Styela clava: one gene and its partner. The protein of the gene in region 2 binds, or shares a complex with, the protein of the main gene of each other region. Links are inferred from orthologs where the notes say so. Each region holds a gene or a part of one and is shown on either strand. Other genes may lie near its edges. The genes, in order: cleavage stimulation factor subunit 1-like and cleavage stimulation factor subunit 3-like.

Region 1 (15,026 bases), on a different chromosome or scaffold from region 2:
GTGTTTGTTTCTTTTCAGCTTACTTCTCAATTTCTTTTTTCACCATTCTTACACTGTTGGAATGCCTGTCAGTCTGTGCCAATATTTTGGCCAAAACAATCTATATGCGTAGATAAAAGGAAAATTATTGAACCAAATAGACGTTTTCTATATATATTCTTTATAGTTGACTTCAATTCTCACGAAATTATTGAATTTCATGCTAAAGGCTTTTTAAATCACTCCCAAATTCGAGAATAATGAACATGCAAATATATATAATGTTTTCTATATGAAGACCCTACATCTGTTAAATGTGCGATTTTTGTATGGATATTGTATCAAATTGAATACGATCGTAAACGATGTAAAATGTCTTGAAACCAGAAATAATCGTATGAGAACTTGGATTTAGGATAAACAGGATTTTGTTCTCAAGCCGTTTTTCATATTTACATTAAAAAATATGTATACAAATCACCTTCACATGAGGATAACTGATTCGCACAGCGGCGGTAAATGATTCCAGCTCTTCCATTATGTCAATAGGCGTGTTCTTGACAATTGTTAGCGCCCAAAGCACAAATTAAATAATTAACTTTTTTGAACTTTTGATAGCTCTTTTTGTTTATTCGAAATTCGGCCACCGGAAATGGTCACCACTGATAAGTCGAATTGACATTCTTTGGGCACTCTGACAACCTGAACATTTGGTATAAATATTTTTGCAAAATTTCCAATTCGACCAAATATTAAATAAATATATAATAATAGTATATCTCATAGTTATATGGAGAGGCACAGTCAGGATTTTTGAATAACCCAATGCGTCCGGGACGTCGCCGTACTATGCACCGTTCCGTTACCCGGTTTGGGGTTGTGGACAATGCTCGATCATTTCCAGATTTTTTAGCGGTTCTACACTAGACGGAGTATAACAAACAATGTGTATGAATATGACGCTTAAAGTCAAGCATATTTAGTTACATTGCAAGACACCTAAAATTTTACAGTAATTCCTTTTAAATACCTGTGGATTTACTAATTTTCGACCATTGCTGTCGGTAACCAGGAGCACGTGGTCATTATGAGAACGAGAGGCGAATAAATATTCTGTTTGGTTCCCACTCGCCCCTTTTTTCCAAGGCACAACTTTTGTACGAAAGCCTGCCTTCATTTTTGTATCCCCATTGTTAACAGTGGTTGTAGATTATATTTCAGAATGTTCTCACTAAAATTATCATAGTAATTCCTTTTACACACCTGTGGATTACTAAATTTCGACCATTGCTGTCGGTAACCAGGAGCACGTGGTCATTATGAGAACGAGGAGCGAATAAATATTTTGTTTGCTTCCCGCTCGCCCCTTTTTTCCAAGGCACAACTTTTGTACGAAAGCCTGTCTTCATTTTTGTATCCATATTGTTAACAGTGCTTATAGATTATATTTCAGAATGTTCTCACTGAAATTATTTGAATATACAATAAATTATTAACCCAACCGAATAAAAGGCCGTCGTTCATTGTCGGCGGAAGTTATTGAGAAGTGACAAACATAATGAAAATGATGCCAAAATTTGTCACGCTGACTAAAAAATTTGTCCGATTACTATTTCTGGACTCACAGTGCGCAACCAAAATTGTGATCAAAATTTCTTGACATAAAACTGTTCAAGAACTTCGATATATTGAAATTTAAAAACATTGGGACTCAGAAATTTCACGGCTGAAAAAGTAATATCGTGCAGTCCAATATATCATACTGATTTTGACGACTTCGCATTTTACTGTGCTGCTGACCTAGTTTATTAATAAGAAATAAATATGAAGTCAGTGGTTGAGAAAAGTACGCGCTTGCGGCCATTCCGCGATTTTTGAAAAATCTAATCTCGTGGCAAATAATCAGGCGCGTATTCTATACTTTCAGTCGCGTATTCTTTTACGTATAAAATTGTGGAACTCAACGTTTTATGGTGTCAGCTAATTTTGATAAAATAGGGCAGGCCTGCCCAACCTTTTTCGTCTCGCGGGCCACTTTCACATAACGAAACATATCTCGTTCTCTCGATCTCGTCTCGTTCACATACGAAACATATATCGTTGCGGGCCGCAAACGTTTGTAACAAACTTTAATACTAGCCAAGTCCCGATTCCGTTAGAATTCACATAATACATAAAAGGCAAGATTATTACGGTAACATAAAATCAATCAAGTTGATAAGGTTACTGATAAGTGCTGGCAAAATATTCGAATATATATCAGCAGTTTACTATTCGAATATCTGGTAACATGGGGCATGGACATGACATTCACGAGTCGCTCAATCGAAAAATCAATCATTACACAACGCACTTGTGGATTTCTGACGGCCACACGAGAATCTGCACACAGTTTTCACTAACAAACAAAGGCGTCAAAATTGAGTCTTATATTTGAGTCATGATGTTTTTTATTTATTTATTTTCAGTGGCTATGATATTTGAGCGTAATGTGCGCCAATGTCGCGGAAACATCGAATTTTAGTGGGCCGTTTCGTAAATTTTGAAACTTCAATACAAGTATTTAATGAAGAAACATTACAAAGACTTCTGGACAAATATATATACTAATTCGATTGGTAAAATTGCCAATCAGGTCAATTTTATCAGAATTATTGACGGATACGCAGTGACGATATTTCCAAATTGTTATTTAACGCGAACATAACATACACAAAAATACAAACATAAAAGAACAACGTATCCCGGAGCCAGGAGCAAAGATATTGTTGACTTTTTATTTTATGTCGGCGATAAAGATGATCAAAGCCAAATTCATTCCTATAATTGCGCTCAGCTTTCGTCACCGATGATCGCACAATCAAGTTCGTCGAACAAAACGCACAGTTCTGCGAGAAATGAAAAAATCTTAACGTCGATGTCCATCAGTGCGCAAGACTTGATACATACATAACAATAAGAATCGGCATCCGGATGTAGACAGATGGATGGAATAATCACACAAAAACCACGAAACAAACTTTCGCCTATATAACATAGTAAAAATTCAAAAAGTCTGCTTACAAAATTTATGGGGCGGGCCGCATGCGGCCCGCGGGTTGGGCACCCTTGAAATAGGGCATCGTTAATCAGGACTTGCACATAAATAAAAAGATTACCTACCAACAACTTCAATTTTGTGATTTATATATGTTGTATTTATTTTTAATATTTTCAGTAACAGATTACACATAAATGCAAAATTTATGCAAACTGCCCAACTTGTGGAATGAAGAGTATCCATAATTAAATTTCGGCCCTCTTAATCTGTTAAACATGCTATTGTAGTTTGAAAGTTGTGCCTGTGATTTTTCAGGTTTTTCGCCTTTGTCGATTTTTACGAAATAGGGCATGAATGCAAAATTATGTTACCGACAACTCAACTTGTATGATGTACCACATATATAATATTATGTTTTTCAAAATTAAAAACTGGCTCCTCTTAATCGATAAACATGCTATTGTAGTTTGAAGGTTTTTCACGTTTTTCGCCTTTGTCGATTCTGACGTAATAGGGCACCCTTTAGTAACGGATTACACATAAATGCAAAATTTTGTTCCCGACAATTCAACTTGTATGATGTACCACATGTATAATATTATAATTTTCAATAATAAAATCACGCCCCTCTTAATCGGGTAGACATACTATTGTAGTCTGAAATTGTGATATTCCACATTCTTTTCGTCTATGTCGATTTTGACGAAATAGGGCATTTTCAGTAACGGATTACACATAAATGCAAAACTTTGTTCCTAACAATTCGACTTGTGGGATAAAGAGTGTATAACATAAAATAGGTATCAATAATGAAAACTCGCCCCTCTTAATTGGGTAAACATGCTATTGTAGTTTGAAAGTTGTGAAATTTCTAGTTTTCGCCTATGTCGATTTTGACGAAATAGTCATTTTCTGTAACGGAATACACATAAATGCAATATTTTGTTTTGTATGGCGTACCACTTTTCCAATATTATATTTTTCAATAATAATATCTTGCCCCTCTTAATTGAATAAAAACATGCGATTGTAGTTTTGAAAGTTATGAAATTTCAGGTTTTTCGCCTATGACGATTTGAACGAAATAGGGCATTTTCAGTAACGGATTACACAAAAATGAAAAATTTGGTTCCCAACAACTCAACTCGTATGATGTACCACATATATAATGATGAATTTTTTATTTATAAAATCTCGCCCCTGTTAATTGGATAAAAAACTGCTATTGTAGTTTGAAAGTTTTGATACTTCACCTTCTTTTTCGTCTATGTCGAAATAGGGCATTTTCAGTAACGGATTACACATAAATACAAAATTTTGTCAACAACTCCACTTGTGAGATAAAGAGTGTATATACTAAAGTAAGTATCAGTATCAATAATAAAATGTCGCCCCTCTTAATTAGTTTTTCATCTCAAAGTATTCGAATCCAACGGGATCCGATAACAGGATTCGGTTTCCGCCTCTCCGGCACCAAGCGTCAATTTTTGTATTTCGGGTTTCTTCTAATTTATCAATTGAAGACGAGCATTTTTTCTCGCGTGTAAATCTCTCTCGTTTAATCAAACTTGCGATAGTGATGTATTAAGTTTGAGTAGGGCCAATTTTGGGTAGATAATGAGTGATATGTAACGATAATCATAGAGTATGTATGTATGTTGATTCGTCTCGTAATAGTGATACATAAATAAATGAACAATTTTTATTATTTAAGACGGGATGCATGCACAAGACCGTACTGGCCTAAAACACAAATGTGCGGCATGCACCCCTTTTGACAAATATGAAACAAAAAACATTAGATTAAATATGTATAATATGCTTCCTTATATAGACAGTTGTGCAAGGTGGGGCAATGGGTCGGTTGGTGTGGTGAAAATGAATTCGTCTTTAGATGTTATTACCAAATAACTAGGTACGAAATCGCGTTTACGGGAACTTGGTTTTACGAGTTACGATGTACCACATATATAGTATTAAATTTTTCAATAATATAATCTCGCCCCTCTTAATCGATTAAATATGCTATTGTAGTTTGAAAGTTGTAATATTTCAGGTTTTTCGCCTCTGTCGGTTTTAACGAAATAGGGCATTTTCAGTAACGGATTACACATACATGCGAAATTTTGTTCCCAGCAAGTCAACTAGTGAGATGCAGACAGAATATATTGAAATGATTATCAATAATAAAACTATATATCTTTATTTTTGTGTTTTTTTTTTCATTTGCATGTTGGTTTAGTTTGGCGAATTTGGTCCCGCCTATAATTCTGCAATCTGATTGTCGTATCAGGTATTTATTGTGTTATTTTTGTTTTTGCGAATGTTTATTCGTTTGTGTTGTTTTTTATGGACTGCAGCGGTCTGGAGTAGTAAACGAATTGAAAAGGCCACCGTGATACTAGTACTATTTTTTCTACTGTCCCCCCTAAGTTCGCTGTTTTACCTGGAAATGGCCTAGGGGTATATCAAATGACCTTTACAAGATATTTACAGGTCCGTTCCGGTAGGTTTGGGTAGATATTTTACACCGTTCCGGTAATTTATTGACACTGATACTGGAGAGCACGAAACTGCGAAAGGTAGAATTATATTTACTTGCTTCATATACCAGTAGCTATTCTCTGGCTTACTGCAGCATGATCTCACAAGTTTCCGTTGCTGTTTATTATGCAGTTATGCCTACTTTGCGAATAACTTCTTCTCTCGGCTCTTATGTTTCTGAACACTTCCAATTTATAAAACCATCACTCCGGGGTGAACCACTTCTATGAAGCAATAAGCAAAACAAAAATTTGGCGCTGACAGAATCGCAGAAAATACCCACGCATAAAAACAAATGTTTCCAATCATTTTAGAAAGAAAGTGTATATTTTTATTAGTTTTACAATACCAAATCAATCAATAACTACACTTCTCATCTTGTTAATATTTTGTAAACAAGCTAAATCGACTGTAACAGTGCATTACAAAATTACATACTTTTTTAGGAGTTGTTTATAAATGACCGAATTTTCTTCGTGACGTTCATTTCTCGAAAACCTCCTATAAAGGCAGCATTACCACATAATGGGACAAATCAGGAACCTTATACTGTAGATTCAATTTCATTATAGCAGAGCATTAGCAGCACGTTTTGACTTAGCCATATATAATACCAAACATAGCGCATATTCTTCAATTTTATGAACACTGTGGACATAATTAAAAAAAAGTTTGTATTTCACTTAATTTGCAGGATACTTGATCAAATATATTTTTTCTTTTTACACATTTATACTGTACGCCAAGAGAGAGAAAGAGGTTTTATTATTTCGTCAACCAAAAAATACAGTCATCAATAAAATAGCAACAGCAAATAAAATTGTTTAGGTATGGACAGGAGAGAGCGATACGACCATGCGCCATACGGTCATTGAGGTCAGCTCCCACCATATACGCTGATGTGATTAACACTGAAAGATGACTAGTGACAAAACTTGAACCATTACGATAAAATTTTTACAATAAATTTCTTAACAAAATTAAGGGATTTTTTGGTTAATGCAATGTTATGCAAGTGTGTTTTAAAGGAAGAAAAAAGAAACAAAAAAGAGGGATGTCCGGTGTTGTATTCGTTAAATAAAACAATCTAAAGCGGTCAGAATAATGAGATGGAAATTTATATTTAACTGGAAATAAATAAATTCGAATTCAATGAGGTTTGGATGCTTATATTTAGCACAATATTCAAAGTACTTGGAAAAAAAATTGGCCATATATATATACAGTGAATCAAAGACAAAAATTATATTGTGATGATAATTTGTCTGAATGTGAAAAATATTTGAATGTAACTTAGTGATACACAGTATTGAAAAAAAGTAACACACCAGGAATTTTATTTATAGGTTAGTCACAATCTGAAAATGTTTAAAATATTTCATGGACTTGTTCATGCAAATGTTTGGCATTTTTACAAACTTGCATTTCAAAAATAATAATACTTATAATAGGTATACTTATCAATAAGGTTTAGCAGATGGATTTGGGAAACGTTTCTGATTTAAACAAGAGGGTCAAATCAATAGAAAAATTTTACAAAACAAACCGAGCAATGATGAGTGAACATTTTTATTTACCTTTGGTGCTAGAGTATGATTGATGAAACCTTTACAAACAAACCTATCCTACTGCTAGTTCAGATCAATTTGGAAATAATTTAATTGATCAACAATAGCATATCAATAACTAGATATAAAAGACAGGGAAAAAACGTGCTATTCGATTGACCAACAATAAAAATTTTCGTTTTTGTAGTCGCGATTTCTCGAAAACCGCCAATACGACACGACACATTCGAAGAAAATCAGATACCTTATAGATTCGATTTCACTATTCCAGAACAGTAGCAGCACGTTTTAACTTGGCCATATACAATACCAAACATAGCGTGTATTCTCAATTTTATAAACAATGTAGATGTAAACATATTTCACAGGGGTTTCGTATTAAACTATATTTATTGAATATTTGAGCAAAATTCTTTTTCACGTTGTCATACATCAATACTGTATGTTCATTAAACTTGGATTATGTTGCGAATTACATACATTGTTAGATACATTGTATTGAATACATTGTTCATAAAATTGAGAAATATTCGCTATATTTAGTATTATATTTGCCTAAGTCAAAACGTGGAGCTACTGTTCTGCTATAATGAAATTGAATGTGTCGTAGTGCTTCCTTTATTGGCGGTTTTCGAGAAATCCCCAATCCAGGGTCGATGATTTTTTTTAAATTTTGAATAGATGGCGTGAATTTATTTTTTGTGATTTAGACTTTCCGCAACTTATTCCAAGTTTAATAAACGTACAGTATTGATGTGTGAAAAAGTAAGAAAGTTATTCGTTCCATAATTAGATAAATTTGGTTAAAATACAAAACCCTTTTGGAATAGATTAAGTCCAGACTCTAGATTGTTTATAAAATTGAAAAATATGCGTTATGTTTGGTATCACATATGGCCATGTCATAACGTGCTGATATCGTACCGTTGTAATAATATCTCATCTATAATAAAATTTTACATCCCACCATTCATCGTAATTCTGCTTCTATTGGAGGATTTTGATAAATATTGTTTAGAACTTGTACTAATCTTAGAAACTCCGTATTTTGCGGAATACCTGGGAATGCGTTATTTGCCCAATTTCTTTTTTTAGACCCTATTTTATTGTCAAATTCATTGTAGTTCTTTAGTTTAATGCTTTGTCATGTCTTTCCGTGGTAAAATTATCTTTTTCTCAGCCATTTTAATTTTTTTTAATATGTATCTATAAGTGAATACTACATGCGCGTGGGAACTATATTCAATGTGTAAAAATATTCTGGCCGAAATTGCCGCTAGCTGCACAGTGGTGTGTAACTGTACTGTATTAATGGATATACTGTACCGGACCACTGTGAAGCTAGTAGCAAACCTTCTTCTAATTGTGCGCAGCGGTGCGTTAAGTCTCGTTTTCGTGCTCATTGAAGAGTTATATTACAGTTTTGTGCTTATTGAAGGGTGATGGAGTAAAACGTAGGCGATTTCTAAATTCCACACGGCAGAATTGCTCTCGATTGTAGATATGGAAGAAACATCAACATAAATTTAAGTGCAGTTTGGAAACTTAATCGATAGCACAACGGCAGTTTGTTTTACACTAATGTTTTATTTTCTGATTTGTCAAATACGGTATCTAACTTGTCATATACTACTCGCCTCAATAAGTACGCACAGAGCTAGTCTGTGTGCAAGACTTTGAATTACCGAATAAATAGAGTTTACAGGTTCAAAAATGAGCTGTTTGTAATGCCAAGCTAATGTAGAAATACGATCGCATTCATTTGCGAAATTGGAAATATTTCAAAGTCAGCTGATTGATTAAATGCACGATGGCCATAACCGTCTACGGTACGTGTTTCTTCTTCTGAGTAATCAAGTCTATTTTTTCACCATACTTATGGAAACGAAGATATATAAAACAAAGATCAAATTCTACTAGCTTCACAGCGGTCTGTACCGGTACCGTTAATGGAGATGAATGGCAGAATGGGTAAATGTATCTGGATTTTATAATATGTCATTTTCATTTTGTATTGTATACTCACACATTTTATGGCATCACCTAAATTAGCTAGAAAATTGGGCTTCATGCAACTGAATGGAAATAAATTATTTGATTGAACCAAAAACTATCATATTTTTTATAAATTGATTTAAATTTTGCAAAAAAATGTGTAGTATCCAGTTTACATTGTATTAACAGTATTAGTACATAACGTCACATCAATAGTCAGATTTTTGTTGTATGTATATCACTTTATCAGTAGACTATTGCTTATGAAGTCAAATCCGAACAATGTGGATCCTTGTTTTGCTTATCTGTGCAGCTGTGGGTATGAATGAAAATGAAGGCAATTAGCATTTGGTTTGGTGAAGCTTCATACATTTGTAGGGTTCCCCATGCATTGCTCTTTCCATCGCATATCAGCAATATGTCATCAGCATTTGGTTTTGTATTTACATGGTATTAAAATTTCAATGTTGATCTATCAGTCTGTATACCCAGTATACGGTCAGACGGTATATATGTATATAAAACTATAGTAGGCTATTTTGTCAACACTGATCATTAGAACGATGTCAGCATCCATGTTTTAAAGTATTAACAGTTAAGCTTTTCTTTTTGGCATTTACTAGTATTTTATAAAAACAGATAATCGTTAAAAATGAAACCGGACAATGTTAAAATGAGAGATCATTTGTATAGGGCTATCATTAGCCAGTTGCTGAATGACGGATATATTGCTGTCGCAAAAAGCTTAACATCTCAAGTGAAGCCAACACTAGCATGTCCACCTTCTGATAAACTGCTCAAAGTATTTGAGACTGGAATTACCCAGCTTGAACATGACAAAGAATTTAAACTTCCATCTACTGCAGAACTGGTTGCTCCTGGCCATGGAATAGATCTTGAATTTGAGACAGATGTTCAAATAACGTCTCCAGAAGCAATTGTATATGAAACAAGTTACGTTACTGCTCACAAAGGTCCATGTCGAGCAGCGACTTTTTCAAAAGATGGACAATATATTGCGACAGGATCGGTGGATATGTCAATAAAAGTATTGGATGTTGAGAGAATGGTTGCCAAAAGTATACATGAAGGGACTCCTCAAATGCAAAATGATCAACCAGGTATGTTAGACCACCCTGTTATTCGTACGTTGTATGATCACAATGATGAAGTGACCACATTAGATTTTCACCCAACCCAGCAAATATTAGTTTCAGGTGGCCGTGACTGTACAGTTAAAGTATTTGACTTTTCAAAGAGTTCTACAAAAAAGGCTTCAAAAACCATTCAAGAAGTTGCAACTGTGCGCTCAGTTTCCATGCACCCCAGTGGAGAATGCCTTCTGGTTGGCACAGAACATCCAGTTGTGAGACTTTATGATCTGAACACTTTTCAGTGTTATGTGAGTTGCAACCCATCAGATCAACATAGAGGTCCACTAACCATGTTGGCTTACAATAATGATGGTAGAATTTATGCTTCTGGGAGTAAAGACGGAGATGTGAAGTTATGGGATGGTGTCAGTAATCGATGTATTGCAACATATCCTAAAGCCCACAGTGGTGAAGAAATTTGTTCTGTACAGTTTTCACGAAATAGCAAATACCTTTTGACAAGTGGTAAAGACAGTGTATGCCGTCTTTGGGAGACTGCAACAGGACGCTCACTCATTGCTTATACAGGAGCAGAACTTAGTGGCAAACAATTACACAAAGCACAAGCAGTGTTTAATCATACTGAAGACTATGCATTGTTTCCTGATGAAAAAACAATTTCACTATGTTGTTGGGACACCAGAACTGGTGAAAGACAACGCCTATTGTCACTCGGACACAACGGTCCTGTTCATCGTCTTGCCCATTCACCAACATCGCCTGGATTTATCACGTGCAGCGAGGATCACAGAGCTCGGTTCTGGTATAAGAGAACGACAGGAACGGACTGAATTGCTGCTGGATAGCACATTTTACTATGTGTTTCTGGACCACAAAGTTTAGGGTCAGCGCAGCATAACATGAGCAAAATTAAAATTTACTTCATGGAGATCATCAGTTTGAAGATGCATGGTATATTAGACAGAGTAATAAAATCTTGTGCTTTCGATTGCCTACTGTCTTAAAGAACCTTGCCTATCTATGCTTTCCAACAGACCAGACCCTGTTGTTTTTTTTAAAGCTTATTTGATATTCTTAATTCTCATTCCACTTTTTATGGCAGTGAATTATCAATTGACGAAAGAAATTTATTCGACCTAATAAACCCTTTGAAATCATCCTCATTTTATGCCCAAACCTGTGGCTGTGTCCCAATTTTTCTATATTTCTTCTCACTAAATTGCCACCACTGCTGGGGTATTATGCATTCCTATATTTATCTAGTTCGTGCTCTTGTCTTGACAATAGCGTTTAGTACACATTGATTAAAACGATTGTCCCTTTTTCGTAACTAAATTAGCCACAATATCAGTACTGACTCGGGGAAAGTTTATTTAACAGGACACATCAAATTTATAAGGTGTACATATTGAATTGCCATGCTGAGGAGGTGCCAAGCATCCCCCAAGTCTGAACCGGACCATTTTCTATCAGCTTTGTGGTTCACTCATCAGCCATCATCTGTTTTTTCGAAGTATTCTGCCATCTTGCAGAGGGCTCTTGATCTGTGGGAAATCTTGTTCTTTTCATCTTTTGCCATTTCAGCATATCTGAATTGGATGGGGGCATGGATTTGCTATTGGGTTTCAATTTGAATGAGTCCCAGTCATAAAATAACAACAATGTACTCACGTTTCATTATAACCATCTGGTTGAAATGTTGGGTCCCATCCAAAGTCCCTTGGGCCTCTAGGTGATACGATCCTCCCCTAGTAAGCAATTAAGGAAAGACTTGTGAAAAGTAATGACAGTAAATTCTCATTCCTTATTAAATCATAGATTCTGGGCAATACTACTTGAAAGCTTATTATTGAAGAATTTTTTTTCACATAATTTAGTTTCCATATGTTAGAAGCTGCTGGATCGAAGGTGGTCGGCCAAACAATAAGAATTCTTGTCTTTCCAACCCGACAGAGCTATACATTTAGGTGTCCCCTTCCCCTATTGTACAAAAAGAAACTATTGACAGATGTGGTAAATATACAGGCTTTTTGGCATGAATTTACTATACCCACCTCACATTTTCCAGTAAACAGTAGGACAGGGTCGTTAGCATTTCCAGTTGCATTGTACGCAAAAGTACATAGGGCATAGGCTGATTTGTCCTCCCAACCATCCAGCATCTTGTGTATTCCTTCTGGTCCCAACTCTTTCAAGAACCATTTCCTGCAACCAGATTCTAATAAATATTACATGACAACAAGACTGACATTTCATTATTAATTGGGAATGTTCAATATAGGAATAACAGAGGTTCTAAAACACATAACTATCATCTAAAACAGTGGTCGGCAACCACCGGGCCGCGGCCCATCGCCGGTCCTCGGAAAGGTCACTACCGGTCTGCAGAGAAAGGTGACATGAAAACGTACAATGCCATTGTTATCTTCATGTGAGGTTGGGTTTTTAAAATGGCAATTACAAAAACGAAAGATCGAAGTGGGTTTAACGTAAGAAATACGTTACGTGAATAGTATCACCTTTGTTTTTGAATGTTTTGTCAACATACATTTTCTAACGCATATTATTTATTACATTATATCAGTTCGTTTGTATAAAGGTGGTCCGCCAAAATTTTGGTCAGGCTTTACTGGTCTGTTACTGGAAAAAGGTTGCCGACCACTGATCTAAAACACATCTCAGACACTAAGATTTTCATTAGAAAATTTGTACATCCAGATATGCACACTACCGGAACCAATCGCATTAAAGCAGTAGAGTTACAATCTGGTGACATATTTGGGACTTCTGATAACATTTTCTACTTCCAGTTAGGACCAATAGGCTCATTATTTTCTTTATATATAATAATTTCATCACAGTGCAAGATTTCTCCACAAAGACAATTTCTAGCTTTGTTATTTTTGAAAAACTAACATCTAAGATTCCCATACACATAGGGTCCAGGGAGCCCATTCATTGCATTAAAGCATAAACATGTGTCTTCCACAATTACAGGAGTCTTCAATCTTCTGGCTGCTTCTTTACACTTTTCTCGAGAAACATCTTCTGCAGTCCCTTGATACTCGGGCACTAAAAATTGGTTCAAGTGATGACACATAGTAATGTAAAGGGATGTCCAATTTAACAGAAAATTGAAAATACATTACAGCATAATATATCTAGACAACCTAACCTAAAAAATCTCCATTTTCTAGTACATTAGGACAAATATTGCCATAATATGTCAGCACCGTATGGATCAAGGCGCATTGATTTCAGAAAATACAGGAGAATAAAACGCACAAATCACAGAAATTGATCAAGTTATGAACCATTTTCTGAACGATCTGCAAAGTCCTTAACTGATATAGATTATATTTTCCACAAACAGAATTTTACCAATACGAATCCACCGTAATCAAAACATATAGCCTAATGGCAGAATGGAGTACACTAAAATTAGAAGAGAGTAACAGGAGTATTGATTTCTCTGTCCGGAACACCGTACAATACACAACAACAAATGCACTTGGGTATCTTTAAATATGATAGGCCTACTTACGATCCAATGGTGTGTGAACAAACTCGACACTTTTATTTCCCTTCAAAATCGCAACAACTTCCTCCAGCTTCTTTTTGTTTCCAGTCACAAAGCTGACAGTCTTTCTCTGAGACATAACGCATTCCCTCTGACCGTATCGCTTCGCTTGTTGCCCGTTACGATTTGTACAGCCCACCGCGTGTACTTTTTTCTCAGGATAAATGCATCCGTGGGGGTGATGTGGGTCGATAATATTCGTGTGTCTCAAAAATTGTGGTCATCAAAATCATAAAGGCCTACCTAATAGGTCACTATATAGGTAAAAATCTAGAATTTTTTAGCGTATAAGTAGACTTCCAATTTGGCGCTATTGAGCCATTACAGGTTTTGCCACATTTGCCCGATATGTTGTGGGATGGTGGATGGGTGCGAAAAGTGGATAGGACATTATATTGCGAATTATGAGACATTAATAGTGAACCACGACTTACAGACTCAGGACTATCAGTTAAAAATCAAGGATTTCTGCTGAAAAATTTTCATCTTATACGGTACCAATCAACTTCCAGTCTGCATGGCTCAAATGCGAGGGTACGGTAGGTACCGTACCATTGGCAACTAGCGTCCCATAGCTGCATAGTCTAGTTAGCGACTTATTTTGACATTGCTACAGAAAAAGAGAGAATTTATTTCGTTTTGTCCAACCAAGAAAACAATATATACATACACATATAAATATCAAATAAACAGATGTTTTCGGTACATGACTGAGAGGCAACGATACGACCTTCGAGGGTCATCAGAGTCAGTTGGCACTCAAAAACAGACAGTACCGTAACGTCTCAGCTTCATAGCACTGGTACCGGTAGACTACTGTTGTTACATCAGTAATTATGGTATAAGTTACTTATAATATGGAGTAAATGATAGGGCTGACGGCTAACTCCCCATGAGGGCTAATTCGCCATATACTGATATAAGCCCGTTTTCTTGTCACTTTGTTACTATTTGCACAGTAGGTATTGTAACCAAACACATTTAATTTATTCATCCTTACTATTGAAGTTGTTAGTATAAACAGCCACCTTTCCATCTCCCATTACAAGAAGAGCCGCCGCACAGTTGCAGACTAACCCGTTAGCCGCCGTCGCATGGCGAGTGGTCCATGGCGAGTTCGCCCTCATGGCGAGTTAGCCTCCACCCAAATGATAGTAATTCTTGAATCTATCAATAAGGCTTGATGCAGAACTTGGTACAGCATT
Region 2 (16,850 bases):
CAGAAACTGGCCAGAATTTCTTCTGTTATGTAAGTCATTAACATTTGTATTCTGTTCATCTTTATAGTTCAAAATTTTATAAGATTATTATTAAGAAAATGAACTGTCAATCATGAGCAGAAGTTCATTCTATGTTGAAGATATTGAATTGTTATCCTACAAAATATTTTTGAGCAGTAAGTTGTGCACATTTGTGGGATTCATCATCTCACATCAACTATGTCGATGCACTAATGAAAGTAATTGCACCTGCGAATCTAATTCAAGATCATGAATGAGGCCTTTGTTATATCATCTCCAGTTATTATGCTCCACAATTTAGGTAGCTTTTCAATTGATAATCAACGTTTTTGTAATTCGAATCTAATAAGCACCAGATTACATTATTTGAATAGTGCAGAGTGTGTAATGAATCTTATCATAGCTTTCCTTCGAACATGAGATTTTGATTGAACTAATTTTGTATATGTATTCGTTATTAGAAATAGCCTCTTCAGCTAAGACTTTTTCTTGTTCCTGTTTTGTTCACTTTTTGTCCACTAAGACTTGACCCTATGTCATCAATTTTCAATTCCATTATAAAATAAATCTAAGGTATGTTTGATGTACTTGATTTAAGATGGTGTATTAGTGGTGTGCTGTTTCTTAAGCCCTAAAGAAAAAACAGTTTGGTAAACTCCAATTGTTTTGACAATAATTTTCACACACGCTCGCGTTTTTCTTTGTCCAACAAATATTTTGAAAGAGCGCACTGCTGCGTAATAATTCCCTAGAACGCACTGCTGCGTAATAATTCCCTAGAACGCATAGGAAAGAATGGCCGGATAAGCAATTCAGAACACTAAACAATTTCCCAATACAGTAGTATATGGCTATGCATTTTTCTCTGTAGATTGATTACTTCTTTATACCATATGGCAGAATGGACAATTCAGAACACTTAAACAATTTCCCAATACGTTAGCCTACGCATTTGTCTCTGTGGATTGATTCATTTATGTTTATACCATACTCACATAAACATCGTTGTTAAGTTGTTACATAGAGAACGGCATATGTAAGCACGAATGATTGTTAATTCGAGAGGATTGGCAGCAAACAAGGATGGCACATCATTTCCTATTGAATCCACATTTATAATAATGACATGCTCTAGGACCCACGACAATTGTTATTCGTAGCCGCCACGATTACACATCGCAGTGCTACGTGTATATGGGAATACAGTACCAACTTAACAAGCATGTTTCACTGGCAATACATGTCATATCCCAAATATTGTTAAAATTGGCCACTCTTGCGTCTTAGAACGAGAACATCGATTTAGTAAGTAAACGTCATTAGGTAAATTCTGTCTCGGTGGCAATATCACCAAGTTGCCAGTAATTGTACTGTCTTTAATAACATGTAACGGTGTGACACAGTGGTTCCTAAACTTTTTAAGCCGCCCCACTTTTTATTCAGCCCCACCTCAAAAATAACTAGCTAATAATAAGCTACAAATAACAGATAGTAAGGCGAAAGTATGTTTTACTCAAAACACACGTTGAAAATACGAGGATGGAACGTAAATGATGAAATGAATAAAAATTTTAAAAACAAATAAGGCGGGCAAGATCGAATCTAACAAATAGTTTTATTTTTAATTAGCTCCACGCCCCCTCGAAAATTGTCTACGCCCCCCTTTGGTGGGCTCGCCCTACCGTTTGAGAACCACTGGTGTAACACATTACAACGCTTACAAAAGTTGGCGATATTTCTATTCTGTCTGTATAAACGAACATTTTTACAGCTGTAAAAATTGTGAAAATGCTTCAGCGTCAAAATGGTATTTTAACCCAGTGTCGTCATTATTAGTACTGCATAGACGCACCGCACTGTGAAATGGTTTTATATTTGATCGGACAAGGTCACTGACTGAGCAGATGCTCAATTTCGGAAAAGGAACGGAAGAGAATGTTTGGTAAAATAGGACAGTTCGTACGAATTGAAACGATTCGGCACTATAATTGACTGAGTTCTGATATTCTGTATTTATCAAGTTTGAATCATGCTAGGTATAAAGATTGTCGTTCACATACGAAACTGCCATTGGGCGAATGTTTAGGGGTATGTAATGTTCACTTATATCGAATCCGACCACGTCCGGGAATCATTTTTAAATAAAGACCGACAAGTTTTTATAAGCCGCATAAGTCGAGTATTCCGCATACGTATATTTTCCCGATAAAACCGTTATTATCATTTTGGGCCTCATTATTATCTTGGACATCGCATACTTTCGTAATTCAGAAAGTCCAAATGTGCCTAATAGACGCGGGCGATAATTGGTCTGACGCTGTATCTCGACCAAACATGGTCGTTAGAGCTAAATGAAAGACCACATTCGCATATTGTGCTTGGTCTGGTATGAAATCTGGCGCGTGGTAATGTGAAACAGTGCACAAGTTTCCATTCCCTAAGTATTATCTACTCCCACCTGTCCGTTATGACACTTGCTAGAAACAGCTAATAAATGTTTCATTTCCCGCTTGTATCGCGCTAAGAAAATACTATATTTCTTTTGATGTAACAGCTGGATTAAAAACATATTTATGTTCTATCAAAATATTATTTTCCTCGTTCCGATTAAATTAAACAGATTAAATATATATTTTAAGATAAAATGATTGTCAATTAAAAGGCCAATGAACTTATTCAGTAATAGTTTTCTTTAAATATCGCGAAATATTTCACACTGATCGAAGTTTAAATTAAATTTTAATCAAAATTAAATATTTTCTAGAAGTCGGTAGCTGGTTTTTTTATCCAATCATGTCAGGGCGCACCATAGTCGCAGCGCAGGTGTGCTGTTGCAAATTTTCATCCAATTGTCACAATTTTCAGGTATACGATCCATTAAAATTCAGGCCATCCAGTAGAATACTAAACTGGGAATTTGGGGGAAATTACGCCACACCGCATCTCGAAAAATGTGTAGCGCTGAACTTGAAATAAATGACGGCAGATCAGTAAAAAGTCATTTCGTTTTCATTTTCGTCCCGTAATTTGGCGTTATATGCAGACGCATAAACGCATTCGGCAGATTTACCGCCGCCGATAACCATGCACAAACCGTTCGATGTTTGTTTTTGCGGTGATATGCTCTCTTTTTCCGAATCGCAAACCTGATTCGAAAAAGATGCAATTCGATTTGTCAATCCAAAAGTGGCATCCCTAGCTTGCCTCAAAATTGGTCAAGCAAAAATTGAAATAGTTTGGCCGCATACTTTGAAATCTTACAATATGTAGGCTATTACCGAGGTTATGGGCAGCTTATTGATATATGTCCGTTTCTAATTATATTGTGTTCGCATCACGCGATGTGACACGTAGAAGAGAAATGCACCGCCGTGAAAAAAAAAACATTACGCGCATTTTACAAGTGTTTATAGGCGAATTTACCAAGAAATACAGGGAATCGACTTGAGCCCCCACAGTATTGAGGGTCTGTCCACCTACAAGCGAGTGTGAGAAATTTTGAATACTAATGTATTTCTTCAGTTACGCCAACCAACTCGAGATGCATAATCGCAAACATTACCCCCTCTTGTTTGAGCGGCTTAATATATATCACTAGTATTGTATTAACTCGTCGTGGTGAATTGTTTGACAATAAAGCCTGGAAGGCAATTTAAAAGTCGTATTTGAAGAATAAATAAATTTAAAAGTCGTAATGCGGACCTGACCACTGACACTTTTCATTTCATGAATATGATGTTAATTTGTTGATAACTATTTTATTTATTTGAAAGTAACTAATGAGCTCGACTAAACTTTGAGGGCATGAATAAAGGATTTTTCATCATAATAAACCTAACAAGTGCAGAAGACATAAGCAGAAAGGTACCATCAGTAGGACAAAGCATATCACTCAATAGTGGAATTCAACTTTTACTTTACGCATAGAGAACTTTCATCGTAATAAACTAGTGCAAAAGACATGCTGCAAGATACTAACAAAGGGTGTAGCCAGCCCAAATTTTGAGGGAGGGGGCAAGTTTTTTTTGCCCACTTAGACTGGCGGGCCATGTAAGTGTGACTTAGAAAGTTACATTTCAGCCTCATGCCAGAACTGAATTTAACCGCAGTCGCAACAAATTGCTTGAGCTATTTTAGCTGAAACGTCAAAATTTGACTTCAGTTTGGCTGTGGCAGAATCAGGCGGGCCAGATTGAATTACCCAACGGGCCGGATTTAGCCCGCGGGCTGTACTTTGCCCATGTCTGCTCTACAGACATACTTCGCTGTCAAAGTTATAAAAGTGCGCATTTCCATCTATCTCGTTTGGTTCATTAGGTGAAAGGATTATTGATAGCAATCCAGGAAATGTCCGGTTTTCAGTATATCGTTCAAGAACAGAGCAAAATGGTTTTGAAAATGTGTATGAATTTATGTCTCATGCCGCAAAATTGCGTCAAAAAATGTTTTTCGGTGGGACATCGCCCCTTCTTGGCTATGCGTATGGTACTAACAGTGGAGGCATACAGCATATCACTTAATGGTGGCAATTAACTTTCCCTTTACGTCCATCCCGATTTGGCATCCCAGAAAACACAACTTTTCCTATTTCCCCCATCTCTTACTTCTAAGAAGACAAGCTTTTGTAAATCCCATAATAGTTAGATATTTATATATTAATAAACGCGCCAGATATATGTCACATATGAACCTGTTATTTCCGCTATCAACCAAATAATAGAATTCAAATGTAATAAAAAGTACATTTTTAATATCAATAAAACCTACATAAGATAAATATATATAAACAGTAAAACATGCAAAAAACTAAGTTCATAAATGTTCACTTTGTGCATATTTTTTATTGGCACAGTAAGTATATAATAACTAGTGTAAATCTGCTATAACTCCCCCTGAACAGTAACTCGCACTCAAAAATTTTCAAACCAAGCTGCCTCGATACGAAATTCTACATAAACGATAGCATTTTAAAGAAGATACAAATTCAAACATAAAGAACCAATCAGGAAAGCATATTATCTTTTTAAATAGAAGTTCCTCAATATCAGCGATTGAACGCCAATATGCTGCCTGCAACTTTTTATAGTGGAGTTTTTTACCCCTTAATAATTAGCAAAACAAGCATTGATATGCATAAAGAATCCGAATCTTCCATATGCTGCAATACCCTCTGGATATATTACATCCTGGAAGAGGTGGTGAGCATGGCAGATGATCTTAGGATCTTTAGATTCAAAGTTAGGTTCAACGCTCTAACCACTGGAATAGTGCGCGCAGGGAATGAAACAGAATGGGATTGATACATAACATGCATGAAGTCGATGAAGATCTTTATGTGAAGCATTTTTTGTTAGGAATAACTTATGAAGTGTTGAATCAAAGCATCTGTATAGATTGTATTGATAAAAAGAAGGATAGAACTATAAAGAAGAAATTCACCACATTACAGCACTATCACCAAGCCATAACGAGGATGGCAAAAAGACTAGTCAGACTGGATCTGGATGGACAATTTGAGCTGCCCATCAAAAACCCAATGAAATAAAAACAATAGCCAACAATTACTCCACCCATGAAAAATTACTTTTTCAAAGGCCGAAGAAATCTGTAGACAGAACTATGACAGAAAGAATGCAAATGAGAAAATGCATTCAATTCCAAATATCATAAAGCATAATTCTGATCTTGCTTAATAGCACAAGTTGAAAACAGAACACAATATGACCTCGCAAGTAACTTTGTTATGCCTTCAAAACTAGGGTAACTTCCAGCAACAAAATACACAACAAGTCCATACAACTTCTCAAAGAAAATCTTTTCTCACAAAAGACAAGAAAGGGATAGGAAACAAACAAATTCCAAGACGCCATTGATAATGTATGTAGAAGCATTTGACAGCTTATTTTTCATTATCACATCAAAGTTGATAAGGTGTGGTCGTAGAATCACATATTCGCTCTACATAATGTAAAGCTGTGGCAGAGGTAAAGAAGTCTAACGGCATCATCTGACTTTTGCATACCATACTACGATTGATCGACGAATCTGTGGCTTGGCATGTTTCTGTCTCATCAAACTGAACCAAAGACCCACTAGATGAATATGAAACAGCCATGCTAAACACCATCATACACTAAACTCCCTAAAATATTATTCACTACACGAATGCCATCTGGCCACTAGCTAACATCTAATGTAAATACCACTGGCCAAGCAGAATTGATTCATTGATCAATGTTGATCCGTTTTCGAAGATTTGAAGCAACTAAATGTAGAGACTCGTCTCAAACTTTAAAGTGTCACTAGCTTTTTGCAACTTTAACCAGGCGCGTTGATGCCTAAGTAAATATTGACACGACATGGTATCCTGGTTTTAATTTCAGACTCAGACTTGACCAGAAACTGAGGGTTTAGGAACTTGCACACAACAATATATTTGGTCGGCATCAAGTCTCATGTCAATTAGTATTAATTTGTGTTTGAACAGCATAGTCTCCATCTCGATTATAAGTTTGTACTTCTTAGCATTTCAGCAGTATCAGCCAGACACAATTCACTTCCAATAAGATAATTTTTCAAAACTAAGTGGGATCTTGTAACACATTATATTTTAGGCAATCCACTTTTCTAAGCAGAACCTTCAAACTGAAAAGAACTCAACAAAGCTTAAATCTGTCTCACCTTTGCAGAACGACAAAGCAAACAAATACAGAAAAAATATATTTTTAATATTACAAACCACACCTCATGTTCTATATAAATCTTCCAATATCTTCCAGCACTTGGGAACTGTGAAACGAGACGTTCGTATGTTCTTCTAGCTTTGTTAATAGAGTTTGTCTGAAAAATCCAATGTAAAAGACTTGTACCAAAGAATATGTTGGAACAATGAATGAAATTGCAAAATCTGATAAATGTCACAATTTCAGTAATAAAATATAGATTGTACCTGGGCTTCACGAATCAGTGAGTTCCATGACTCAACATCATATGGACTGGTTTCCAATTTCTTTTCTATCTTCCTGATTCTTTCTGGAACATACTCCTGTAATTGAAGAAAAATGGACCTCATGTTTATATACCAAGTTATGCGGTACAAAGATAAATTTTTTTGGCATTATTAATGATAGTGAGTATGATATAATTATCACCACGCAATACAGAACAATGAATACAATTCTATACATACTGAAAAGTTCTTATTCGTTCCTAATCACTATTTACATAGACATATTTAGTACTGTTTGAAATATTCTGTATGTCGTCTGATGATAGATCATTTAACAACATTTAATGTGTAATAAACATCAAAGTTAACAGGTTGTCCCACTACTAAACTGATAAAAGACTTTAGAAAGTATATCACATAATACCAGTATTACACTATAAAGAACATTAGCTGATAAAAAAAAAAACATTCAAAACCATTGCTAAAATACTATTATTAATTGCAGTGTAACTTCGTTAGGAAAAACAGAAATGTTTTATGGCATGATATCCATAATTGATTTGTGGTTTAGGTGCATAATATTCTAAGATATCCTGGATATCCAAGTAGAAATTGCATTATAATAAATTTTCATTATATCTCACCACTTCTTCTGATTGTGATTTTGTTGCCATATTCAATGTTTTGAACCCTTTATTGAACAACAAATTAAGTATAGATTTTGCATTGATCAGCTTTTAATCATTAATAGAGATTTTTGTAAGTATTGTTACCTTAAGTTTCTGGAGAAAGCAATCAAATTAAATAATGTTGTACAAAAATATTCTTTAAGTTTATAGATTAATACTTATCTGTAAGCCAAGACAAAAATTTAAAAGATAGCAAATGCATTTCATCCTGAAAAGCTGAAGTAATTTATCTCAATTATGACATAATCTTGTTCATTTATTGGTTTAAGAGTCAGTACAGTTCTTTGATTGCGATATTACAATAAATGTCCCCCACATTAAAATACAGCAATTATAACAGTGAATGCAAACCCCTCCTTTTTGAGACAGTGTGGTCGGCACGATTTACTGAAGAAAAAAATTTACCGTATCATAAGTATATTTGAACTCCATAATCAGCATAACACTAACATGCAAAGTTCAAAACGTACAGGATATCTTATAAGATGGGAGATTTTGCCAAGAACGAGTGTTTTTAGCAAAAGAAATTATTATTTCAGTGATATGACGGAGGACGCTCATTGAATTCTGGAATTATTATCAAAATAAGCATGACACAATACTGACTGTTGCAGCAAACAGCAATATTTTGATATCCAGATACCGTGTGCGAGACGAGAGTATTGCGGGTTACCGGTAATTACAGTTTCCTCCACCATCAAGTCCATGCTTCAGAAAATAAGTTTATTTAGACTCCATAATCAGCATAATAGACGGTAAAATGTCGACATTGATAAAAGCAAAATAAATAAAACTGATTATAGAATCCGACCTGCAAACATGGACTGGTAGTCAACAGGTAACACTGTGACAGGATGAAAGGCTGTGGTTCGCCATATGATTAAGCCGTCATATCGACTTTCCACTCCTCCGGGATAAATATGTAAATCCTATTCTGCAAGCTTTAACCTCGGGATTCGGCTGTGGTTCGCCATGTGATTGAGCCGTCTTATCGCCTTTCAACTCCCCCCGGGATAAATATGTGAATCCTATTCTGCAAGCTCCAAGTCCCGGCCCTCGGGACAATGCCGGTACCGTATTCGCCAAAGTGACTACAGGACTATAAACCATTGAGGTGCTATAAACCACTTTGGTATTCACTGCCGTAACGTACGATCTAAGACTACAAAATAAACCACCTGCACCTGGGTGTCGCTGACACGATTATTGGACGATCTTTCGCGACTGCTCGCGAAACTTTGTGGGTTATTTTTGTGACTTGATTCATTTCGATTCATTATTATTTGTTTACAATATTTCATGCATGGCGAAATAAAATATTTTAATCTAAAAACACACACAGTTGTACAGGTAATCGATAAAGCCGGGAAGGGAAACCGCGGGAACGAATTTTGTTTATCAAATAGCGACACCCAAGGTGTAGGATAAGGTTCTGATAAGTCCAAAAATCGTATTTAAGAGGTCGATATTTCAGTTACGACATTGGTATGGCCGTATCGCGACTTTAGCTGTATCAGTTCAGACCTTGCTTTGATCAATTTTGATAATAAAAAATGTATGTACAGACTTTGCTCATCTAGTCTAAACTGACAGGTCGGCAGTGGGTGGACAGTCTAAAACTTCATAAATTCACTTCATTCTCAGCCATTGGAGACACTCATATCTGTTTGAGTACAGATACGGTATCGCGAGCTCGGAGGGAGAAAGAGACAACTCGCCATATGGGTTTGTTACTTTGCTATACAGTCGTTGAGTGACATCGCGGGATATAATGTAAGGTATAAGTATATTTAAAAAATAATAGGAAAATAACTAGTGTTCCATGTTATATGAAATTGAATGAAAGTGTCAGTATTCATTACTGATTAAAGGCCAAATTATGATTGATTTACATGATTTTTTTGAAAATAGTTCTCATACTTACGTACATACATTTATGAGGCTAAAATGATACCTGGGGAAAAAAAGCAAAATTTATTTCAACTGGGCTAATATTCAGGTCCGAACCGTCCGGGCAATCTTTTCATCAAACACCGAGGCACTATCGGTACGTTAGTCGTTGGGCACTATACTATGAAAATTTCTGTTGTGCTTTCTTTGTCCTGGTGCCGTAAGCTTGTGCTTGTTGTGCTTTATAATAAATTCATACTTGGCTACAATATCATCGCAACATTATACGCCTACAGAATTATCAGCATAATAAAGCAGCGCCAAATCGTGTAAGTCTTGCTTTGTAACTGACGCTTTTTAACAGAAGGCCTATAGAAGTTACGGTGAAATGCTATTCAAACGTGGAACGACTTCAGTATACATTTTCGATTCATTTGCATAATATTATTTAGAAATAATTCTCATGCCTACAAACATTTATAGAGGTTTAAGAATGATACTTGAGAAAGAAAAACAAGCAAAATCTCAAAATTTATTTTAACCGGAACAATATTGAGGGCTGATCAGAGGCGTAGCCAGAATATATTGCGCCCGGGGCAAGCTATAAAATTGGCGCCCCGACCTCCACGTTTAATCATATTTTCTATTACATTTAATTGTATATGTAAAACAATTCAAATTTTAATGGAACATTTTACTTAATAATTGTCTTACCGTAATATTTATATAACATGGTGCAAATGTGTCTGTGCTATTCTGTTCATTTATATTTTATACTGAGACCGACTCTGTTATGGCGATCTGTAATGTACTAGATCACAATGTAGCACTGGTATTATATATATTTTACACATGTCCTCTAAACTCTATCACAATGTGCTTTTAGTGTTGAATCGTGGAACTAAAATATCTGCCGACTCATTCTCCGTCTTTTTTATATTTATATTGTAACAATTAATTCCGACTTCTTAATCAATAACAGTGTTAAATTGGTCAGGAGCCTTGATGACCTTCAACGGTCTTGCATACTGGCTAACACAAAACAATGTGTAAATTGGACTACTTCTATAAAAGTCATCGATATTGTTTTATACTATTTTTCATTGTTTTCATTATAGTCTAACTCTATAAAAATTATTGATATTATTTAATACTGTTTTTTCATTGTTTGTGGAAATAAATCTCTCTCTTAACGAAGAAGCAAAGCTATACAAAGTATGTCCATAATGTCCCACTCAGTTATTGTCAAGGATGATTTACATAGTCTACAATAAATTTATTTTTCTTGATTTCACTGTCGCAAGCTGGTTAATCACGTCATCAAAATCTGTTTTTTTTTTCAATGTTTTTCTTTCAACACTTAGAACAGGGGTCGGCAACCGGGCCAGATCCGGTCCACGGAACAATATAATCCGGCCCGCGACGCTTCACTAAATTATATTAACAAAACAACTGTATTGACGATTATATTTTTTACGTAACAGAATTTGTTTTGAGACACTAAGTTATATTATAATCTAACAAGTATATAATTCACAATCACTCGTTTAAATTGATTATAGATAGACAAATGGCAACAGAACGTAAAAAAGTTGATGCTGAGTGCAAATGCTTTAATGGCGCAGAAAATGATCAGTTTTTGTGCGCTGCTTGAAATTTAACTGAAATCTGTGTGAAAAAATGTGATTTACTGGCCATTCCCTCGTTTTTTAACTTTCTAAAAATATATGCGGGCCACTAATGACTTGCAACCTTTAATTTTGGCCCACGAACGACAAAAGTTTGCCGACCCCTGACTTAGAACATCACTGAGACTATCCTGTCCTATTGATGCACGCGATTACGACAAAATAGGTTTAAATTTGTTGAAAGACCGTTCACAGCTTGCAATTGAAACTGGTATTGTTAACAAAATTTGTAGAGAAATTCGCATATTCGAGAAAACGTCGTCTCCAAAAGACACAATAAAACCAAGAAGAGCCAATGGCTGGTAGACACCAATGCATCAAACTGAGTTGTTGCGATGCCGTTGTGGTCATTATAAATCAGTGGTTCTTAAAGTATGGGTCGCGACCCAAACATGGGTCGCGGAAGGTTTAAAAATGCGACAAGGTCATCAATGCAAGGGCAATCTAAGAGGAGAAGGAAGAATTTTCAGCTTTCCCAATGTTTCAATTTAGCTTCTAAACTCTGGTATTTAAAAATAATGAAATATAAAATGTCATTCACGGAAAGAACTGTCTTGAGCTCATTGTTACATCACAATTCTGATTTGCCAGTCACGTGTATTATTTTTATGGTATCGGTAACCATGTACGTCGCTTGTCGTTGTGTTGACCGCGTGGAATGTCGTCTTAGTCGATTAAAATAACCAAAAATGGGTGTCTTTTTGGTAATGTAAATTGTAATAGACGACGCAATGAAAAAGCTCGCTTCTCGACATTAGATTATTCAATATCTAGAGAAAATGTGACTTCATCTCGAGGCACCATTTACCGCAAGCGAAGCAGTGTGTGCACATTTGATGAGTAAAAAGTTGTATATTGCGAGAGATACCGAAGGCCAGCTAGGATGTCGTGTTTGCGACGGACAGCGGACGCCTTTTCTGCTACAATTCGCAACAAGGCACTTGTGCGAGCGAGGATATTTGGCACTGACGGTTATCAAAACTAAGCTCGCAATCGCCTCGATACCCGTGACAACTTGCGTATTGCGTTAAGTAAAATAGAGCTGTGTATTGAAGATATAATGAAAAGGAAATTTCAGTTTTATCAATCTCACTGAGTCAATGGACTGTTTCTAATAAATAGTTGTCTGTATTTGAGTCAAACTGTACTAACATTAAAAACACATTTTGCGTTATTTAGGATTGGGTCGCGAGTATTCATAAAACTCAGATTTGGGTCGCGCTCGAAAAAGTTTAAGAACCACTGTTATAAATATTAGGCCCAGGGCTAAGTATAAACTACACTTTTTATGAATGCTGTTGACAGGCGGGAACTGAACAATCCCTTGCCACCAAAAGTAAGGTCTGCGTCGTGGGCTACCTGGAAACGTTTAGCAGCTTACCACGAAATACAAAACCACGTACTACTCAAAACATGTATTATCAGCACTTCGCTGTTTAACATCATTAAACCAAATTCCGTTGCTTTTCGTCTCCAGCACAGAACTTATATCAACTTACATCGTAGTGCGCAGGCAAGAACTTATCGATACAGAACCACGTATTTAACCCAGTGCATTTTATTACCTAACGTTACCAAATCAGATTTTGCTTTGTTTCCGTGCGCGAGCTATGTGCCTGATGACGTCGGCGTAAGTGGTCTGACCAAGTGTGCAGTTGGCCATGTACTAAGACTAGACTGCCGCCGGTGCAATCTTGCTTGTGAGATTTATTTTATGTGACTGGTATTTTACCCTCGTTGTGACATTTTTGCAAGTCCCATTTTGGCGCCCCTGTACCTTGGCGCCCGGGGGCATATGTACCCCATTGCCCCCCCTAAGCTACGCCTCTGGGGCTGACTCGTCAGACTAACTCGAATTATTTCGTTAAACACTGAGGCGCCATTGAAAAGTTGACTGTGGAAATTTCTGTGGTCTCCCCTTTTCTCTTAGTGCCCTAAGCTCGTGGTTATTCCGTTTAAGGGTTAATCTAGACCTGGAATACGTGTGAACGAAGTTAGTTCGCCTAGCATCAAGTGTACAAATTATATAATTTCCCTATCTGTCCCGAGAAATGATAGCTGGCCGCTTACAAGTCAATGTTAGATTCTATTTTCTCGTGATTATGTATTATTTTCTCGTGATTATGTACTCTGTTCTTTAATTTATTCTAGTATGATTGTCTTGGTGTGTTTCACGTGTGTGAATGGGCATAATCGCTGGTTACAGCGTTCGTTATAAACCTTTATATAGGTTTTGCCCACTTTCCCGATCTTTCAGTTGACCTTGTCTGTGTTCTTTTTATTTGTGTTGTAGACGAAAGATCGAAATAAAATTATATTATTATTATGCATGGGGTCGGCGGTAGAGGAAGCAAGCGGCTTCGTTGACGATAACCACCTGGGTATATTTACCTTTGAACCAGCGCAGCGTACTTCTGAATGGAATGACAAGCGACTTTAAAACTCTCAGCGCCCATCGTCGACGCGGGTTTCATGTTACGTAGATGACCTATCTTTTTTATTTCGATTCCTGAAAGCTTTTACGCTTTGGTCATTCGCACCATTGCTTACTCTTGAATTCTAATCGGCGATGACGGTGTATTGCTTCGTGCTAAGCGTTAGAAATAAGCTCACAAGCGCACCTCTGATTACCCCGCGTGGTTTCGCAGGTTCGAACTTTCATTCCCAAGGTACCCTATTGAAAATAGGCCGCTCCAGAAGTGTGTGCACGAATACGAAGGTAACTAATTTTGTTCGCCTACCTTACTTAAAGTTGTGTAGAGTGACTGAAACCTACGGGCAGCGGTTATATTCACTTGGCTGACCTGACGAGGGAAGTATGTGATACCGGTAACAAAATTTGTTAGATGCCCTGTATAACATTCGGTAATGAATGAAGAAGTAGTGGCAGTGCGAACCTTATAATCAGACATCCTGGATTTTAACAGAAAACCAAGCCTAAAATTTAGTTATGCGATTAATTTCATTGTAACAAAGCATAAACATAGGCAAATAAATGAAATATACTTCAACAAGAACTTGCAAATTCGCCAGAATACAGAAATCAACTTCTATTAAAAACAAAATATAGAAATTCACCACCCATAATTTACAGACAGTGGTCGGTCAGTATGAGCTACATTGTACAATATCAGTGAAATAGAACTGTTGCTGATCTAGATTGTTGTGACTATACAATTGATAGAACAATGTGAAAAAGTGTGATATAAAGAAAATGGTGAATAAACAATCCCATAATAAAGTACGATTTTCTTTTTACTCTAACATGCTCAGGAGATTTTACAATATTCTTCTTTTCATTATGGCTTGGTGTTGTATTTCTGTTGATCATAAATAATAATTCAACCACATGAAATAATGATGAATGGCAGACATGATTGTGCAAAAACGAAGCATAAAAATATTACAGACTTGATAGTGAAGTAAAAAAATGTACCAGACATGCGAAAGAAAGAGTTGAGTAATTAACAAAGTAATAAACAAAAACTTGCACCATCTGATGTAAAAATGATGTTTTATGTTGTGCCAATCCCTACCGCAGCATACTAAATATCAAATGATTTCAACTACTGCTTCATAACACTTCAAACAAATTGTTAAAAATAGAAAAAGCCCCATCAAATAAAAGTACAAAGATGACAAAATGAACAAAGCATAATATAGATAATAATCCGTAGATCAAGAAAAATATTTAGAAAAGCCAGCAAAAAGCATCAGTTGTATTGGACAAATGAAACAATTTTATTAACACCCATCTTTTCATTTTATTCCTCAGCAACACGATGTGATCTGTAAATAACAACATTTTAACTTTCTTTTTTGCTAATTTACCGTAATGACTCTTAACAACAGAAATTGATTAACATCGGGTACTTAATCTTGGTCCAAAGCAACAAACAATCTCGTTTGTGTATGATATTTATTCGAAAAGTTATAAATGCAGTTATTCATATTGAGAAAATGTGAGAACATAAAAAATGTATGCCCAAGTCATACATAGTTATTTAACAACAGTTTTTATATGAAACGGAATCCTTTACCCTAAGTATATCTTTTCTCCTAACTACAACAGATCATTTTGAAAAGAAGCTAACGCATCGCATCATTCATGCTACAATTATAGTAATCAAAGTAACAGTTCAATTGCGTAATAAGAACCCAAATACTGTATTTAAAATGTTGCTGGTATTTATAACATTTTTAATTATACGGCAGTGAAAAAAAATGTATTGTTACTTGAAAAATTCAGTTTGAATTTGAATGTTGTATAGTATGAGTGAGGTTACTGATGATAGGAAAAGAACAGATCTGTGATAAAATTCCTAAAAAGATTCACTAACCTTACAAGTGGTGATTCTTCCGGACCACCTCTCTTTCGATCATCACTGCCAATGAAATCGACTGGAACATTTAGAAAATAGATATTTTATTTTTAACTGCTTGTTTCTATACTTTAATATTATGCTAATTTTACATATAATACTAATACTCACAACTGCCACTGTCATCTTCAAGAACACCAATAACATAGCATGATATGATGAACCCGAAGCACTAGAAAATAGATAAGTTTATTTATTAAAATTTGAACAGTGATTCTTCAAACATTCGTTTTTCAGACATAAGTGCATTGGAAACATAGATGTCTAAGATGAATGGAATATTTAAATTGATCCGAAAATAGTTATAATCTATACTTCATTATAGATTCCTGATTTTCGGTAAAATTTAGAATATTTTTATTTCCAAATTTGTCATTTTTAGTATTTGACATTTGGCGGTCAAACAAAAAATACACTCAAGTTAACTTCTAAAACTGTATAATAAACAGAAAATCAAGCAAAATCATGTTTATTTCAACTATTCTGCATAAAAAAAATTCAATTCTATAAATTTACAATTATTTGTGTTCAAACTTTGTTGAAAAAATGATCCATTTTGCATTATTAAGGGACCTCCAGAAGTATTTGCACCAAGATGGCGCACAACCTGAACATTGTATGTGTACCAGGTTAAGGTTCAGGTTGTGCGCCATCTTGGTGCACATACTTCGGGAGCGCCTTATTAAGAACTTAACTTTTTTTATATTATCTTTTGAAATACTATGATTTATTTATGTACAGACATCAAATTTGTACCAATGCAAATGGAATTTTAAACAAATCTGTTATGGAACACTATTTATGCATTAGTAAGTACTTTACTTTTTTATATTATCTTTTAAAACACTATGATTTATGTACAGGCATCAAATTTCTACCAAAGCAAGGGAATTTTGAACAAATCTGTTACGGTACATCTCAAGACAATTATGAAATTTTTGATATCCGTCATACTTTAACAATTCAATCATACTTTAACAATTCAAACACCTAGTAAAAGAGAAACTCACAGCGAATGCGACCTGCAAGCCCGATTGGAATATTTCTATATAACGATAATCAATCGCACAATCAATAGGCATGTTAGTGGGTGTTGTAGGATCTAGCCATAATGGAGTTGATGACAGAGAATCACAAGAAAACGATGTATTTTTGAACCATGAATAACTGTCTGTGATGGCAAGATTGACTGCAATACCATGATTATTCTGAAAATATAGGATTAAAATTA

What was found.
Region 1: the proteins of cleavage stimulation factor subunit 3-like (region 2) and cleavage stimulation factor subunit 1-like are in contact, whole or in part, in a crystal structure (PDB 6B3X), measured with the Homo sapiens proteins. The link is inferred for Styela clava from reciprocal best matches to the Homo sapiens genes CSTF3 and CSTF1. Residues at the interface, in NP_001317.1 of Homo sapiens: Tyr581, Pro582, Lys583, Pro584, Asp585, Thr586, Gln588, Met589, Ile590, Pro591, Phe592, Pro594; in NP_001028693.1 of Homo sapiens: Arg118, Glu216, Ala217, His226, Pro227, Ser228, Asp230, Phe231, Thr240, Arg242, Leu243, Tyr244, Cys251, Phe252, Val253, Ser254, Cys255, Tyr270, Ser272, Ser273, Ala274, Asn275, Gly291, Val292, Ser293, Asn294.

What each region holds. Positions count from the first base shown.
Region 1 is NC_135254.1:18,911,853-18,926,878, forward strand, and holds cleavage stimulation factor subunit 1-like, read left to right. Parts: upstream 1-9,733; 5' UTR 9,734-9,778; coding exon 9,779-11,071; 3' UTR 11,072-11,193; downstream 11,194-15,026. Other genes in the region: inosine triphosphate pyrophosphatase-like, read right to left, coding at 11,731-11,830, 11,913-11,989, 12,296-12,446, 13,175-13,313, 13,786-13,900. UniProt on the Homo sapiens protein: One of the multiple factors required for polyadenylation and 3'-end cleavage of mammalian pre-mRNAs. May be responsible for the interaction of CSTF with other factors to form a stable complex on the pre-mRNA.
Region 2 is NC_135255.1:8,577,832-8,594,681, forward strand, and holds the start of cleavage stimulation factor subunit 3-like, read right to left. Parts: upstream 7,931-16,850; 5' UTR 7,645-7,930; coding exon 7,615-7,644; intron 7,067-7,614; coding exon 6,971-7,066; intron 6,862-6,970; coding exon 6,766-6,861; intron 1-6,765. Other genes in the region: sodium/potassium-transporting ATPase subunit beta-1-interacting protein 3-like, read right to left, coding at 15,002-15,026, 15,578-15,638, 15,731-15,791, 16,630-16,827. UniProt on the Homo sapiens protein: One of the multiple factors required for polyadenylation and 3'-end cleavage of mammalian pre-mRNAs.